Linked DNA regions of Nothobranchius furzeri. The protein of the gene in region 2 purifies or fractionates together with the protein of the main gene of each other region. This does not show direct contact. Links are inferred from orthologs where the notes say so. Each region holds a gene or a part of one and is shown on either strand. Other genes may lie near its edges.

Region 1 (8,034 bases), on a different chromosome or scaffold from region 2:
TCTTACAATAAATTCAGTAAAAAAAATTGCTTGTAACGTCTGACTGAATGTATCGCAATATATCGTGATGTATCGTATCGTCTCCCCTGTATCGTGATATGTATCGTATCGCCAGAATTTCAAAAATACACATCCCTGGTAAGGTGCATCCTTCGACGCCCACCAGGATCCTCTGCAGGCCGAATAGGAGATTTTTGTTCTTGTAAAAATGGCAGAAAATGATAGTTTTAAATGTAAGAACTTTAATATCTGGCAGAGCCAAAACTGAATGCTAAAAGCAACTGTGTTGTTAGACTTAAGTTGTTAATTTTATTTGATTTTTTTTTTTACATTTTTCTGTCAAAATCATAACAAAAATCCTCAAACAAGCTCGTTGGGCAGGTCCTGCAGTTTTTATATTTCGGCTAAGTTTAGCTGTAACTTCTGTTTAGTACCATCATGGCTGCTAGGCAACAGGACATACGCTGAAGAAGGGGTGGGAATAAATCTTATGGCTAGACAGTCCAAATTCAAAGCCGCTCCCCTCTGGTCTCAAAGCTCGACCCACGTGGAATAAGTCTTTACAAGGATGCTTCTAAAAGTGTCAACAGGTCCAAAAGGTGTACCAGATTCCAAATGTCTCATAAAATTTGAACCCTGAAACTAGGTTGCCTGACAAAATCCCATACAACACTCAGTATAAGCCCAACTGAACCTGAGTTTCTTTTATTTATTTATTTTTTCTTCTTCTCTTCTTCTTAATGCTTTTAAGAATAGGCTTAAAACATTTTTATTTGATAGGGCCTATGGTTAAAATCTGATTTTAGCCCAGATTTGGACAAGTGGGGGAGTAGAGGGAGGTGGAGTGTACAGTCGGTAAAGACGGCTCTCCCTTGCCCAGCCTCCAACATGCCTCCATCTAAAAGGCTAGGTTATCCAGAGTTATCTCTGTAGTTATACTGCTATAGGCTTAGACTGCTGGAGGACACACTGACCACTTTCCACACTCTACTACTTTCTTCTACAGTCTGCTCTTTAACTGTATTATTTCCTGCTATTTCAGCTGTTAACTTTATTTTCTCTCTGTGTTTTTCTCCCCAGAAGAAGCTACAATGATGTTCTGCTGAGCTGTGGTAGCCTCATGGAGGGGGCCATCGTCTTAAACACTGTTGCTAACCATTTAAACATTCTCCCTCTCCTGAAAATAACAATTAACTTTCTTTGACATTGAATGTGCTACTACTAGTTTACCCGTTTAATTTTTGATCCACTAGGATAAATACAATAAAGTTTATCTCTCACCAAATAGAATATTTACTAAGTGAAGTGCCTTGAGACGACTCTTGCAGTGATTTGGCGCTTTATAAATAAACTTGAATTGATATATATATATATATATATATATATATATATATATATATATATATATATATAAATATCAAAGATGACAAGCTGCAGAGGAGCATGAGACCTTACAGGGTTGGAATGCAGCACAGTGAAGAAGTCGGAGCTGGTGAGGAACTTGGCGCTGGGGGACTGGAGCAGGAGTGAGATACGAGACCTGGAGGGGGACTGAGTTGTACTGTTGTCCCTACGGAGTTCTAACACACACACACATACATTAGACAGTAAAGAGATGATAAACCCATGTTTTATTGGTCTGACTGGACAGATGGGGGTGGGGTACCTGGAACAGAGGGGTGCATGTCCGTCTCGTCCCCCGGCAACTCTGTGGCCGGCGGCTCCTCCAGTCTGTTGTCATTGGTTATCGTCCTACGTATGCTCTGATACCTGGACAGGTGTGGGAGGGTATTCAGGAATCACTATAATCCAGGTGGATGGAAACCAGTGTGTGTGTGTGCACTCTATACATCATTCTGAGAACCAGTGATGTACTTTACACTTGTGAGGACATTTTGCTTGGTCTTCAATTTGGTACAATGTAGAGGAATGGTGTGAAGAAAGCTTTAGTTAATGTTAGGGTCAGGAATAGACTGGTAATGGTTATGGTTAGGCGTAATTCAGTCACCAAAATAAATGGAAGTTAATGACAGTCCTCGCAATGGAGGCAAGACGATAATGTGTGTGTGTGTGTGTGTGTGTGTGTGTGTGTGTGTGTGTGTGTGTGTGTGTGTGTGTGTGTGTGTGTGTGTGTGTGTGTGTGTGTGTGTGTGTGTTCTGACCTGCGGTTCAGCTGTTCCATCTGTTGTATGGAGCTGGACCTCTGTAGGGTCTGCGGGGCGGGGGGCGCGGTGGGTCGCTGCCATGTGGTGGTTCTGTTGACGTGGTCCACGTAGAAGATGCGACCGTGGCTGTCGATGCGAGCCTCCCAGTCTGGATGAGGAGGAGGCCCACGGGTGAAAACTAACAGACAGCACGTTCTCGGCTTCTGATGGACCTGGACTTTCTTTCATTTATCAAAACAAGCTTTTTGATTTAGCTTTCAGCTGTTTGTTTTTTTAAAGACGGGAAATAAATGTAAAGTTTTCACAGTTGATCTCACATCAGCCTGGAGGAGAACGCAGGACGCAGCATGTCTCTGGGTCCTCCACACTTTGGGAGCCTACTGTATTTATTTAATATGAGTATATTTTTATGGGTAAATCGTGTCTGTTCGTTTATCTTTCTGGGTTCCTTCACACTTTCCCACCCAGTTTGTATTATTCTGAATCCTAAAGGCTTTTGTTGAACAACAACATAAACTGTGGCTTTTAAAGGGCAAATCACCCCCTAATCAACGTTTCTTGCCAATAAACTATATAAATGAGTGTCTGATCGTGCTGCAGACACGTGTAGTCAATAATTTGGCATTTTAGCACATCTTAGTTAAAATTTAAATATTCTACCTAAAACTGTCGTGTTGCGCCATCATCAGGTAAAAACTCTGCACCGCATTTGAATTTAAATCTGCCATCGCTACTGGCTAAGAGGTATCCTATGATATCAGCTGGTACCATATGATGTCACAATGCCGTTGTGAGCCTGTGTGTGTGTGTTTGTTAACAGCTCCTGCCAGGCAACAGCATTTGTTGCATTTTTAAAACAGGAAGTGGGAGTGGAGTAAGACTCTGGTAGAGGGTGACTTGCTCTTTAATGACCTGGAGGCTCTGGCCCAGGGGGGTCCAAACTTTTAGACACAAAGGCCAAGCTGAAGCTCCTTGTGGGCTATAAACATTTGACTAAAACGTTAAAAAGGAAATATTCTAATAGAAAGAATGAAAGGGGCGTTCTAGTATTGTTAATAAACAACTCTGCTAAAGAAACAGATTCTGGTCATTCGAGTGTGTACTTCTGGCTCTAGCAGATGGGAGCATGACCATGTAGTACCAAAGTATGGCTGATGGATGTTCACACATGAGGTTAGGGATCCACAAACATGGCGGCACACTTACTAGGCGGCAGCGGCTCATCTACTCTCTGGTAGCGACTGATGTCGTGACGAACCGACGGCAGAGATCTAACAGACGGGTGACCATTGACCTGCGCTGTGACACCTGAAGAAAACCATAACCATCATGTCTCTGTGTAGATGATACAGTTATGCTACTGTTTTGCTCCAGCACAGATGAAACACGTCTGGTTCACCGCCCTGCAGCCTGAAGTCATCCCTCAGCTCTACGCTTCTCCCCACAGACTCATTTAGGAAAACTTGCTCTCTGAATGACGCTCCAGTCATTAATGAACACTCGCTGACCCACTGGTGGGCACAACCCTGACAGACCATCTGAATGTCCTCAGGAGGAAACCGTCAGCTTATACGATCTCACCTGTCCTGCTCTCCCTCACTCTGGCCCCGGGCTGCTCCTGGTTCTGAGCCAGACCCCCAGAGGCCTGCATGGACTGCCTCCTCCACACCTCCCCTCCTTTGTCCTCCCCTTCCTCACTGCCACCTTCAGCCCTCACGCCTTTAAATAAAAACAATGTTTATGGTGTCTTTTTGAAGACGTTTCTACACCCCCCCCCCCCCCCCCCCTCATAAGATGTTTTAGAGATGACTTTAGAAGAGTGGAAATAAAAATTAAATATTGCCTGGCTATTAGTCACAACACATAGTGTCAGTTCCCCTGTAGAGTGATTATATGAAAAAAGATCCTTGCCATTACAGCCTCCTGTACAGATCTTGGGGAAGGTGAGGGAGAACCCTTGCTCAAGAGCCTTTTATCATCTTCACATTGGCGGTTTTCATGGCTCTCTTGTTACTATAGGCTGTGTAGGGGGACACTAAGCTTTAAACCTGCCAACAACAGGCCGGTAGAGTCTAAGACTGAAGCTGAGCTTGCTGGGATGTCCACTCCTGGGGTTACTGGTAACTTTAACGTTAGAGTTGTGCAACACCACCTACCTGCCTCTCCTCCACCAGCGGAGCTGCTGATTGGTGCAGATGCGCCAACTGGCCCATTTGCTTCACTGCTCGATGACTCAGCCCCCTCCTCCTCCGCCTTTGGAGCCAGTTCCTTCCTTGCATCAACCTCCTGAGAAAAAGAAAAGGTGCGGCGGGAGGCTGTTCATAAAACAGCAGCTTTTACCCAAGATGACCTAGCACACTGACTCCTTATCTGACCAAATGAGTCTGTGTCTTTGCTCAGAAGCTTACCTGAATGGGTGAAAGAGGACCAGGTTGGGGGTTGCAGGGCCCCATCCTGCTGCTCTGCTCCTGACAGGAACATGCCAAACCAGACTCCTCTTGTGGTTCTGCTGCAGCTGCCTGAGCCCCCAAGGCCTGAGGTGAGGTGGAAGCTGTGGAGGTATCCGCAGAGACCTGCACCACCTCGGCTGATGCTCCAGCAGCCTCCTCAGCCCCGGTTACCGATGCTACTGAACTTCCACTCTCCGCTTCATTGATTCCTCCATTTTCTGCCTCCGCAGGCTGAGCACCAGCAGAGGAACCTGCCTCAGCTCCAGCCTCCTCCGTTGGACCCTCGCTCTGCTCTCCAGACACAACTGGAGCTGTTCTAGAAGGGTTGGTGCTCTGCTCTGTTCTCGACGCATCAGTTTGGTCCCTGTGCTGCCCGGCCGCATCTTCATCCTCATCTGAGTCGATGTGCAGCATGGCGTTGAGCCGCGTGTCGGTCGGAAAGCTGGAGCGGAGTTTTGGTAAAGGCCCCATCGACGGTCGCTCCCCGGGACTCATGGGAGCTTCAAGGGCATCCAGGTAATCGTTGAGCGAGACCTGTCGATGAGTGTGGCCCCCCAGGACCACGGGATGTAGATTGCTGTCTACCATCTGACCGGGTTCGTGCCACACACTGTCATCACCATAGCAACAAAGACCATTCATTGCCAAGGGGCCGTCATCAGAACCGGTGGGAGATGGTCCGTATGTGGCATGAGATGACGAGGAGGGGTGAGGAAGCTCCTCATCATCAGACGGACTTCCGGGGTCGCCACTGCCCAGGATGGTCCCAGCAGCATCTGGGGAGGCCTCTGGGGGGAGGAGGGGGAGATGGATGGGGAGGAGTTAGGAGGAGTATCAACCATATAGAAGGGAAGATATTTGCCTTTTAGAATTTTTTTTGTGTACTTATGTAAGCTGAGCTAGCTAGTTTAGCTAATAAAAGCTACAAAGCCATACAAACGTCTGTTTAATTAACAGAAATGAATGCAGCTCTGCACATCAGCAGTTAGCATGCTAGGTCCTGCCCTAGAGTCCTGCTGTGGTAACCAGTGGTTCTACCTCCTTAGGAAGAAAAGCAGCTCATTATTGACGAAGTTTATTTAATTACAATGAACTCTGCAGAAGGAACAAGTTCATATGAAACTTACTTTTTTTTAAATCACCAAAATGTGTAGAACTAGCCAGGCAATCCTGTCCTATATGTGAATACATAGGATGGCCACGACTGACTTTTTTATTTTTTTATTTTGTTCAATTTTCAATTCAGTTTATTTATAAAGCGCCAAATCACGACAGGAGTCGTCTCAAGGCACTTCACATAGTAAACATTCCTATACAGGTCAGTTCATTAAGCCAATCAGTAACAAGTTTCCTATATAAGGAACCCAGCAAATTGCATCAAGTCACTGACTAGTGTCAGAGTCTTTACAGCAATCCTCATACTAAGCAAGCATTTAGCGACAGTGGAGAGGAAAACTCCCTTTTAACAGGAAGAGACCTCCAGAGGATCCTGGCTCAGTATAAGCAGCCATCCACCACGACTCACTGGGTATGGAGAAGACAGAGCAGACACACACACACACACACACACACACACACACACACACACACACACACACACACACACACACACACACACACACACACACACACACAAAACATATACCAAGTAATGTGTCTATGGCAGGAGTGGGGAACTCTGATCCTCGAGGGCCGGTATCCTGCACGTCTTTGCTCCAACACTTCTGATTCAGTGGTTGATTCACCTGTTCTGCAGCTCATCAGGCTCTGCAGAAGCCTGTTAATCACCTGCTGATTGAAATCAGGGTTGAAACTAAAATATGCTGGATAGTGGCCCTCGATGGACCAGAGTTCCCCACCCATGGTCTATGGTTACATTGTGATTTCTTAGTAAATATTCTATTTGGTGAGAGATAAACTTTATTGCATTTATCCTAGTGAATCTATAATTAAACAGGTAAACTAGTAGTAGCACATTCAATGTCAAAGAAAGTAAAATGTTATTATCAGGAGAAGGAGAATGTTTACATGGTTAGCAGCAGTGTGCTAGCTGATGGCCCCCTCCATGAGGATTGAACTGAATTACAGGGCCTAGTGATGCTGCGTTCACTGTCATAGAGCTCAGTCGTGTCTCTGCATGCTATTAGACAACGAACAACGTGACACACTCACTTCTACAGATGTCAGTCAATGCGACAGTCTACCATACACTGCCAAAGAAGACATTTGCATCCTTTTTCCTAAATAACGACATGTTTTTACAATCAAAATAATTAAAATTACAGGATATAATTAAATATCAAACAGTTCAAATTCTCTTCAAAGCACTTAATAAACTTCTACCAAATAATTTACAAAAGCTATTTATAATTAAAAAGCTGTCACATAGCCTGAGGAGAGATAAAATATTTATATATATGCGAACAACACGTAAAAGCTTTTGTGTGTCTGTGTGTGGGATAAAAATATGGAATAACTTAAAGATTGATCACAAACAACGTCAAAATATTTAGATTTTTAAAGCACACTACAGAAGAACAGTTTGGTTAAAATACATTACAAATGAGAATGGATGATGATGTGAGTAAAGGTGTATGGGAATATGTAATTAATGATAATGACAAGAATTGTTAAATTGTCATTATTATTATTGTTATGATTATGATTTTCTTTGGTCACAAGGTTGTTGAATTTGAGTTAATGCTACATATTGAATGTTAAACTGTTAGTGAAAAATAGCGGTGGGCTTGAATTAGCTTGGCTTCCGCCCACTCCCTTTCAAACATGCCTACAACAATGTCAACTTGATTTATTATTGATTTATATCCTGTTGTTAATTGTGGTGTTATTGGCATGTTGGAAATAAATGATGATGATGATGATGATGATGATGATGATGATGATGATAAAGGACTAAAGGACCTCTATCTGCTCTTAACTCAAAGAAAAGCCCAAGTCTAAACAGTCCACTGTTGATGTCCAAGCCGTTTCAAACGAGCCGTCGCCATCTTGTTTCTCTCTGTCACATCACCCCGCCTACTAAATCGATACAGTGCTGTGATTGGCTAAACACAACACTGCTCAGGCTCTTTGGCAGTGTGGATGCAGAGGGGTTAAAATCTCCCTTTTATGACTACAGTTGGGAAGGGGACTGCTGCAAAAGGACCAGGTCACCCATGAGTGCTTTGGGAAAAGCGTCAGACCTCAGAGAGATGGAACAACGTATACTAAGAGACGCCAGTGGAGAGGACCTCATTTTCTAGTTAATTTTTACAATAATAGTTGCCGGAGGGACTTGGAAGATGATTTGCTTCCATTCTAGTCACCTTTAAAACCAGGGACACTGCAGCTGCTACTTACAACAGCATCAGCATAAGCTTATAGCTGACTAATAGAAATTCTTTTGACCTGTTTTGAGA
Region 2 (8,034 bases):
TGACCATAAAATAAAAGTATCATTGAAACAGCATTTTGCCTCAGTGCAGTATTTGTGTCAGTGTACTTTCTATAAGTTACACATTGAGCAGGACTGTGTTGTATTAACTGGCGTGGATTACATGCTCCAGTGGCCCCCTCTTTGGTTGATTTGCATTTACAACAGGTTTCATGCATCATGGTGCATTTTCCAACCTGCAATGCACAGGATCAGTAAAACTGAAGAGCATATTCAACAGAAGGTCCTGTAAACTCACATATTTGAACACAAGTTGTTCCCAAAGATGCAAGATGCATGCTGCTGGAGAACTCCTCTCCTTATCAGACTTCAGTGAGTCTTTTTATATTCACCTGCACGAGACGATGGCTGACCTCCATGGGCTGTTTCAGCAAACAGACAGAAGCTCGTTTCAGGAGTTCTGTTGTCTTTCTGTTCTCATCTTAAACACAAAGCAGCAACGTTTCAACATTGACCTTATTTTGCTGACAGTTTCGGCTTCTCACAGTGCCGTCAGAGCTTCGCCAAGGCCATCGGTGCTTCACATTAGTGAAGCTGCCAAAGTTGTTAGCAAGACAAGGTAAAAACAAAAACTTTGCTACTCTGTTGTTACGTACAGTACCACTTTTCAGCCACAAGATGGCCTCAGTGGCTTTGCCTCGCCTGTCTCCCGGTGTAACAGGTGTTTGTAATCGCTCCAATCAGGGAGCAGCTGTTAAAGGCTGCTCTCCTCCCTCAGTCAGTGAGAAGGTACAGGGAAGCTTGGGCACGAAGGTGTTCAGGTTTCTCTCTTCTCCTCGAGTGCTTGTGTGTGTGTTGCTTCGTGGTACTTTGGTGATTTTGTGGTTTACTCTCGATAATTAGGATTTCTGGTAACTCTGACTTTGGACTGGCCTTTGACTCCCCCTTTTGGATTTCTCCTGAGCGTCTCTGCTTAACAGGACGTCTCTTGTTTAGTATTTGTATTTTTTTTTTAATTTAGTGTTTTACTAATAGTAAATATTTCAGTTAGATATTTTTCTCCTCCCAGCCCTTTTGGCTTGGCGCTTTTTGTTAACCCTTTTTCCCTTTTATAGGCACTTTGTGTTTAATAAAAATCCTTTGTTTGAGACAAAAATACTCTTATTATTATAAACTTATTATTTACCTACACACAACATCTCTTACTCCCTCTACCACATCTCTCCTAGCGACCAGAGGGACGTAACAAGATAAGAACAGAAAAACAACGCAACTAGAAAAGAAACGGAAAGAAGGTAACAAGGGGTATTTCTCAATGCCAAGGAACCTCGCCTTGATGCCTTGGCCCCGCCCCGGTTGCCAAGGAGATACGTCATCAGGAGCCGCCAACACGTGTTCCAATTTTCATGTTCTACCGTGGCGTGTGTTCTCAGTTTGTTAGCCGTTTAGCTAGCTGAGCGAGGATACACGGGAGGTGTCTTGTAGCCTAGCCTTGGTCAAAAATTACTCAGAATACACTGCGGTATTTTCAAAAGGACGGCGGATCAGAAGCCGGCAGCTACTTCGGGGACAATTTTCAAGTTTAAAAGTAAGTCAGCTAATTTAAAATGTTTTTTTTTAGATCCAAAGAAGTTATCTATGGTTGGTTAGTAGCTTAGTAGTTGCAGCTGCGGTGGCTAGCGGGTAGTAACTCACTTATATTTATTACTTAATAAACATATACACAATTTAAAAAGTAAAACAAGAAGACGAAAATATCATTTCTATAGCGACTCTCAAGATACAAATCACGAGGCCCTTCACAAAAACAAAAAATGTAAAAAATATTTATAAAACGCTTAAAAATATATTTAAAGTTAGCAACAATAGATAATTGTGATTAAAAATGTTAAGAAAGAGAGAGAGTGGACAGGAAAGAGGGAAATCAGTGGATCCTGAGGAAGGTGGAATAGGTGGGGAGAGCAGAATAAAGAGAGAGAGGTGAAGAAGGTCATACAAAAGCCAGCTTGAACAAGTGAGTCTTCAGCTGCTTTTTAAAGGAGACCACTGAGACCACTGATCTCAGGCTCAGGGGGAGAGAGGTCCAGAGTCTGGGGGCCACAGCAGCAGATGATCTGTCACCTTTGACCTTTAGCCTGGTGCTGCACAACCAGTAGGCTTTGGTCACTGGACCTCAGGGACCTGCTGGGGGTGTAGGGACTAAGAAGATCACCAATGTAAGATGGTGCTTGTCCATGTAAGGCCCTATAGACCAGAACCAGGATCTTGAAATGAACCCTGAAGTTGACTGGCAGCCAGTGAAGCTGGAGGAGAAGCGGGGTGATGTGGGTGTGTTTGGAGGACTTGGTCAGAAGCCGAGCACAGGCGTTCTGAACCACCTGTAGACGGTTCAAGGAGGTTCTGCTCAGACACGTGAAAAGAGAGTTAAAGTAGTCTAAGCGTGAGGAGATGAAGGTGTGGAGAACTGTCTCAAGTTCAGAGCGGGACAGAATGGGACTCAGCTTAGCAATGTTCCTGAGATGGAAGAAGGAAGAGCCAACAAGAGAACTGACATGAGAATCCAGGGTGAGAGCTGGGTCAAAGGTCACGCCAAGATTCCTGACAGAAGGTTTGGTGTGGGAAGCAAGCTGACCAAGAGAGTCTCTGACTTTGGGAACCAGCTTGTCTGGGGCACAGATGAGGATCTCAGTCTTATCTTCATTCAGCTGTAGAAAGCTCCCACCATCCAGGTTTTGATAGAGTCTAAGCAGGTGTGTAACAGCTGCAGCTTAGACATCTCATGGGGCTTAAAGGAGATGTACAGTTGGATGTCATCTGCATAAAGATGGTAGGAGATTCCTTTGAAGGAGCTCAGGATGTGCTGAAGAGGAAGCAGATAGAGGAGGAAGAGCAGAGGCCCCAGCACAGAACCTTGTGGGACACCATGGGTAAGAGAGGTGGTGGAGGACCTAAACTTGGAGACGGCCACAGAAAAGGAGCGCTCAGAGAGATAAGAGGAGAACCACTCCAGAGCAGATCCTGACAGGCCTACCCAGTCTCTCAGCCTCTCCAGTAGCAGGTGATGGTCAACAGTGTCAAAGGCTGCAGTCAGGTCCAGCAGGACCAGAACAGAACAGTCCCCTGCATCACTGTGGGTCAGAAGGTCATTAGAGACCCTAAGAAGAGCTGTTTCAGTAGAATGAGCTCTACGAAAACCTGACTGGAAGCTATCATAGATGTTATGTTCATCAAGAGCAGCTGTGAGTTGTTTAGCCACAACCTTTTCCAAGATCTTGGAGATGAACGGAAGTTTAGAGATGGGTCTGAAGCTGCTATGGAGAGAGGGGTCAAGACTCGGTTTTTTAAGAAGCAGGTGGATTACAGCGTTCTTAAAGTAAGCAGGGACCTGACCAGAAACCAGAGAAGCATTAATTATAGAGAGCACGCTGGGACCGATGGACTGAAAAACACTTTTAAACAAAGATGAGGGTAAGATGTGGAGGGGGCATGCAGAGGTCTTCATAGAGTTAACTAGTTTGGTTAACTCAGGCAAAAAAAACAGGAGCAAAGCTATCTAGGATGATGGGCCTGGTTGGAGTCGGGAGAGGCGGCGATAAGGCTGAAGGAGAGATGCTAGATCTAACCTTATTGACTTTGTCCACAAAGAAATACAGAAAGTTCTTACAGTCTGCAACAGAGTGGATGGAGGCTGTAGGAGAGGCAGGAGAGATGATGCTGCTGATGGTGTTAAACAGCACCTTGGGGTTCCCTTTGCTCTGGGACACCATGTTGGAGAAATAGGAAACCCTAGCGTCTCTGACTGCAGAGTTAAAGGACGTCAGAAGATCCTTTAGGTGCAGCAGATGGACGTGGAGATGGGTTTTCTTCCACAAACGCTCCATTTTTCTGCATTAGCGCTTCAGGCTGCGAAGGCTGTCATTAAACCAGGGAGTAGGGTTCACTGCAGGACCTGATCTGGTTCTGACAGGACAGATGTTGTCCAGAATGGAGAGGCAGTGCTCGTTGAACTGAGAAGTTAAGGAATCTGGGTCGTTATCAGAAGAACAGGGTGGATCAGAAGCAGCAGAAAAATTGCTAGCTGTGCTCTCATTAAGAAAACGAGAACTAACCAGACGGCGAGCAGGAGGTGGGGACGCAGAAACTGACAAGTTAAAGAAAATGCAATGGTGATCTGAAAGGCTCGTTATATATTTATATTGAAACTAATACGTATAAAATATAATGTTGTCTCCCGTGTCACGTGACGTTACGTGACAGCCGTGGAAGCCGCGGTCACATGATGCAAGTCTGTTCCATTTAACCGTTTTCTTTGACCAAGGAAGGACCGTGTCCTCGTAAGCCAGGCGCCTGGACATTGAGAAACACCCCATGGACTTTCAGGAGTTGTTTAAAACCAAAGATTAGTTCTGAGGAGACATTTTTACAGAGCAGGTTTGCCGTGTTTGCTTCAGTTGTTCACTTCCCTGGTAAATCTATGACCTAACAACAGCAAATGTTTGCTTTGCTCACTCACATCCCATAAAGGACGGCTCTGTCCTCAGTGTGGACAGAAACAAGAGAAAGCTAAAGCTAGAGTTTACCTCCGGGCTCTAAAGTAGCCGTGACAATGCAGACCCTTTAAACATGGAGGTTTCGAATCCCAGTGAGACTCGAATTACCTTTATCAGCTACTGACAGAGTGCTGTTGAAGTACTGCTCCTCCAGAGTCCACGAGGAGTCGTTCATTTTGGTGGAGATCCCACATGAGCCCTGGCAGAACACCTTGATGGCTGTGGAGAGAACAGGAAGTCGTTTAATCTTAATGAAAAACTAGCGCTCTTCATGTGTTCTTTACACAGAACTGGACGAATACGGCCAGAATTGAGGACAATATAGCATTCGTATTTAAATGGGAAAACCAATTAGTCTGTACACCCTGACCAGCATGAGAACGGAGCAAAAAGGGCATTTAAATTGGTTTGTGTTCGCCGAGCAGCAATAATACCAGGGTGTGAACAGAGTTTTAGTGAGTCAACAGCGAGCTGCATGGAGAGTGTAAATAAAACGTTGGTAGCGCTGGATTCTCCGACTCATTATCCAGACGACGAGATAAACAGCCTTCTCTTCAGAGTGAAAAACACTTTTATGAAGAATTTCAGGAGTGAACAAAAAGTTTCTACATTAATGTGAATTATTATGATAGAATTAACCAGAAATCAGTGGAAATGTTCATGTGTGCTGAGATTCAGGCGCCTCTTCTCTTGTGTGTCGGCGCTTCTTCTTGTTGTCTGTGAGGAAATGACAACTCTGATAACCAACACTAAACATGTGACAGATGCCGGAGGATTAGGCAGAAAGACGGAGCCGTCTGGTCTCACTATCATCTTGTTGTACAGAGCTAGGAGGCAAAGAGAGAGCTAATGTTGTAAACTCTCTCCTGAGAGCCTGAGGTCAGTGGTCTCCTTTAAAAAGGAGCTGAAAACTCACCTGTTCTGGTTTGGTGGGACTAGTGTTGTCAAAAAAATCAATACCTAGATATAAATCGATACTAAAGGTGGTATCTAAATTACATATTCCATCTCTATGGTATCTATATTATGGAGTCTCACATATACACAGCCTTCTTCAAGTACACCGACACACACGACAGCCAGATGCCGTAAAGCAGCCTCCGCCTCCCGGACAAACAGAAGAAGAAGACGCCGCATGGCTACATTGTTATTTCCCACGCGAGTTGTCTCCGATCCAAGTTTCGTTAACAATGGCAACAGCGAATTCGGGAGGCGCTTCACAGCCCAACTTAATCGACAACACAAAGAGCAAAAGTGCAGAGTGGAAACACTTTGGATACAAGGCTGATGAGTCGAGGAAAGCAACAGACCATGACAGACCCGTTTGCAAGGAGTGCTACAAAGAGATCGCTACGAAGTCCAGCAGCACAACACATTTGGCCAAGCGTCTGAGAGACCGACACCCCAAACTGCATGATGAAATGAAACAGGTGTCTAAAATTTATTAAATCTAGTAAGAATGTGTCTAATTGCACCAACAAATTTGAGCTCACGTATTAGTATTAGCTAAGCTAGCATACCAAGTCCGACACGTAGTTGTATATTCACGCTTATGTGCTTAAAGGAAACTCCCATTTATTGCAACCCGGTCTTAATTTCTAGCATGCAGTACGTTTGTTTACTCACGCTGACAACTTTGGTGCTACTTGGATTCCCTGGGGTATTTAGATCCATCGGCGAATCGCCATCAGTGTATATCCATATAACGGGTGCGGACGGGCACCCATGGTGCAGCCTCGACATAAGACATTATCTGCACCAAAACATCTTCATGTCGAAAGGCTTTGTTAGGAATCATTAACATGATTCCCCTGTTCGTTTGGAGCGGGTCTGGGATTTCTAGGCGTAAATAGACTAGCCGCGGCTAATCTAACCGGCGCTTTTAATTACGTCACTGCCGTGCGCCAATCTGTTTTTATTAAGATTACCGGTAGATGTACCTTTGTCCTACTGTGGAGAAATTCGTTTTCTCCCTTTACTGACCAACAGAGTTGTTCAAAAGTAATGAACAAAACATTAGCATTACATCTTATGACAAAAATGCACCTTAAACAGAGTTTAAGCAGCAAAACTGAAGTTCCTCGTGCCTTTAAACACGCTGTTCTACAACCAATCTTGAAAAAACCCGGCCTCGATCCCACCGATTACTCTAATCTACGACCAATTTCCAAATTACCGTTTTTATCTAAGGTCCTTGAGAAAATAGTCTATGCACAGTTGGTGAAACATCTAAATGAATATCAGGTAATGGACACCTGTCAGTCTGGTTTTAGACAACAGCACAGCACTGAAACTGCTCACGTTCGGGTGTTTAATGACATTTTTCTGGCTTTAGATTCAGGTTTCCATGTGGTTCTGGTACTTTTGGATCTATCTGCAGCATTCGACACGATCGATCATGACATTTTGATCACAAGACTTCACACTTGGGCTGGCATTTCAGGCACTGCCCTGGATTGGTTTAGGTCATACTTTTGTAACAGGTCTGCTAGGGTCATGTTGGACGGCTGTTCATCAGAGTCACAGCCTCTACGTTGGGGTGTCCCACAAGGTTCAATTCTCGGCCCGTTACTGTTCAACCTCTATATACTGCCCTTAGGAGCCATTTTCAGAAAGCACGCTGTCTCATACCATCTTTACGCTGACGACTGTCAAATCTACTTTTCATTTAAGCCAACTCAATCAACGAAAGTTCTGTCTGATTGTATCCTCGAGGTCAAGCAATGGCTAGCTGATAACTTCCTCCATCTTAATGACTCCAAAACTGACTTATTCGTTTTCAGTCCTAACAGTATCATGGCAACTCAACAACCTGACCTCAACTATCTCTCACCTAATGTATCCTCTGTAATCTCCAACCTTGGAGTAAAAATGGACCAGGCTCTGAAGATGGATGCCCAGGTCAATACACAGTTAAATCATGTTTTTACCAACTAAGACACATCTCGAAACTAAAGCACATCCTGAGTGTCCGTCTTCTGAAACCTGTGGTCCACACTTTTATCACCTCAAGGCTGGATTACTCTAACTCCTGCTTATATGGCATCAGTAAAGCAGCTCTTTCTAGACTTCAGCTGGTCCAGAATTCAGCAGCTAGGTTGCTGACTGGAGCTGACAGAAGACAACACATTTCTCCAATTCTGAAATCTCTCCACTGGTTGCCCGTGCAGTTCAGGATAAACTTCAAAATTATGCTTCTCACTTACAAATCCTTGAACCATCAAGCTCCTCCATATCTGTGTGAACTGGTCCATTACTACAACCCGCCGCGTGCTCTCAGGTCTGAAGATAAGCTCCTCCTAGCTGTTCCCAATGCACGTTTAAAAAGCCGTGGAGAAAGGGCTTTCTCTGTCTGTGCACCCAAGCTGTGGAACGCATTACCACTGCTAGTGAGGCTAGCACCAACAGCTAGCATTTTTAAATCACGCCTGAAAACTCACTACTTCAACCTAGCTTACACCACATAATTATGAACCTCACTGACATCTGCACTGTTTATAAACTGACTCCACATTATCGACTTCCG

What was found.
Region 1: the proteins of arrdc1b (region 2) and hecw2b purify together in Homo sapiens (affinity purification with mass spectrometry; 3 studies listed by BioGRID and IntAct, counting the BioPlex papers as one, with this or other methods). This does not show direct contact. The link is inferred for Nothobranchius furzeri from reciprocal best matches to the Homo sapiens genes ARRDC1 and HECW2.

Annotation. Positions count from the first base shown.
Region 1 is NC_091743.1:81,272,763-81,280,796, reverse strand, and holds part of hecw2b (E3 ubiquitin-protein ligase HECW2), read right to left. Parts: intron 5,404-8,034; coding exon 4,574-5,403; intron 4,452-4,573; coding exon 4,322-4,451; intron 3,474-4,321; coding exon 3,372-3,473; intron 2,314-3,371; coding exon 2,163-2,313; intron 1,771-2,162; coding exon 1,667-1,770; intron 1,581-1,666; coding exon 1,456-1,580; intron 1-1,455. UniProt on the Homo sapiens protein: E3 ubiquitin-protein ligase that mediates ubiquitination of TP73. Acts to stabilize TP73 and enhance activation of transcription by TP73. Involved in the regulation of mitotic metaphase/anaphase transition.
Region 2 is NC_091746.1:74,983,953-74,991,986, forward strand, and holds part of arrdc1b (arrestin domain-containing protein 1b), read right to left. Parts: intron 4,728-8,034; coding exon 4,617-4,727; intron 1-4,616. UniProt on the Homo sapiens protein: Functions as an adapter recruiting ubiquitin-protein ligases to their specific substrates. Through an ubiquitination-dependent mechanism plays for instance a role in the incorporation of SLC11A2 into extracellular vesicles.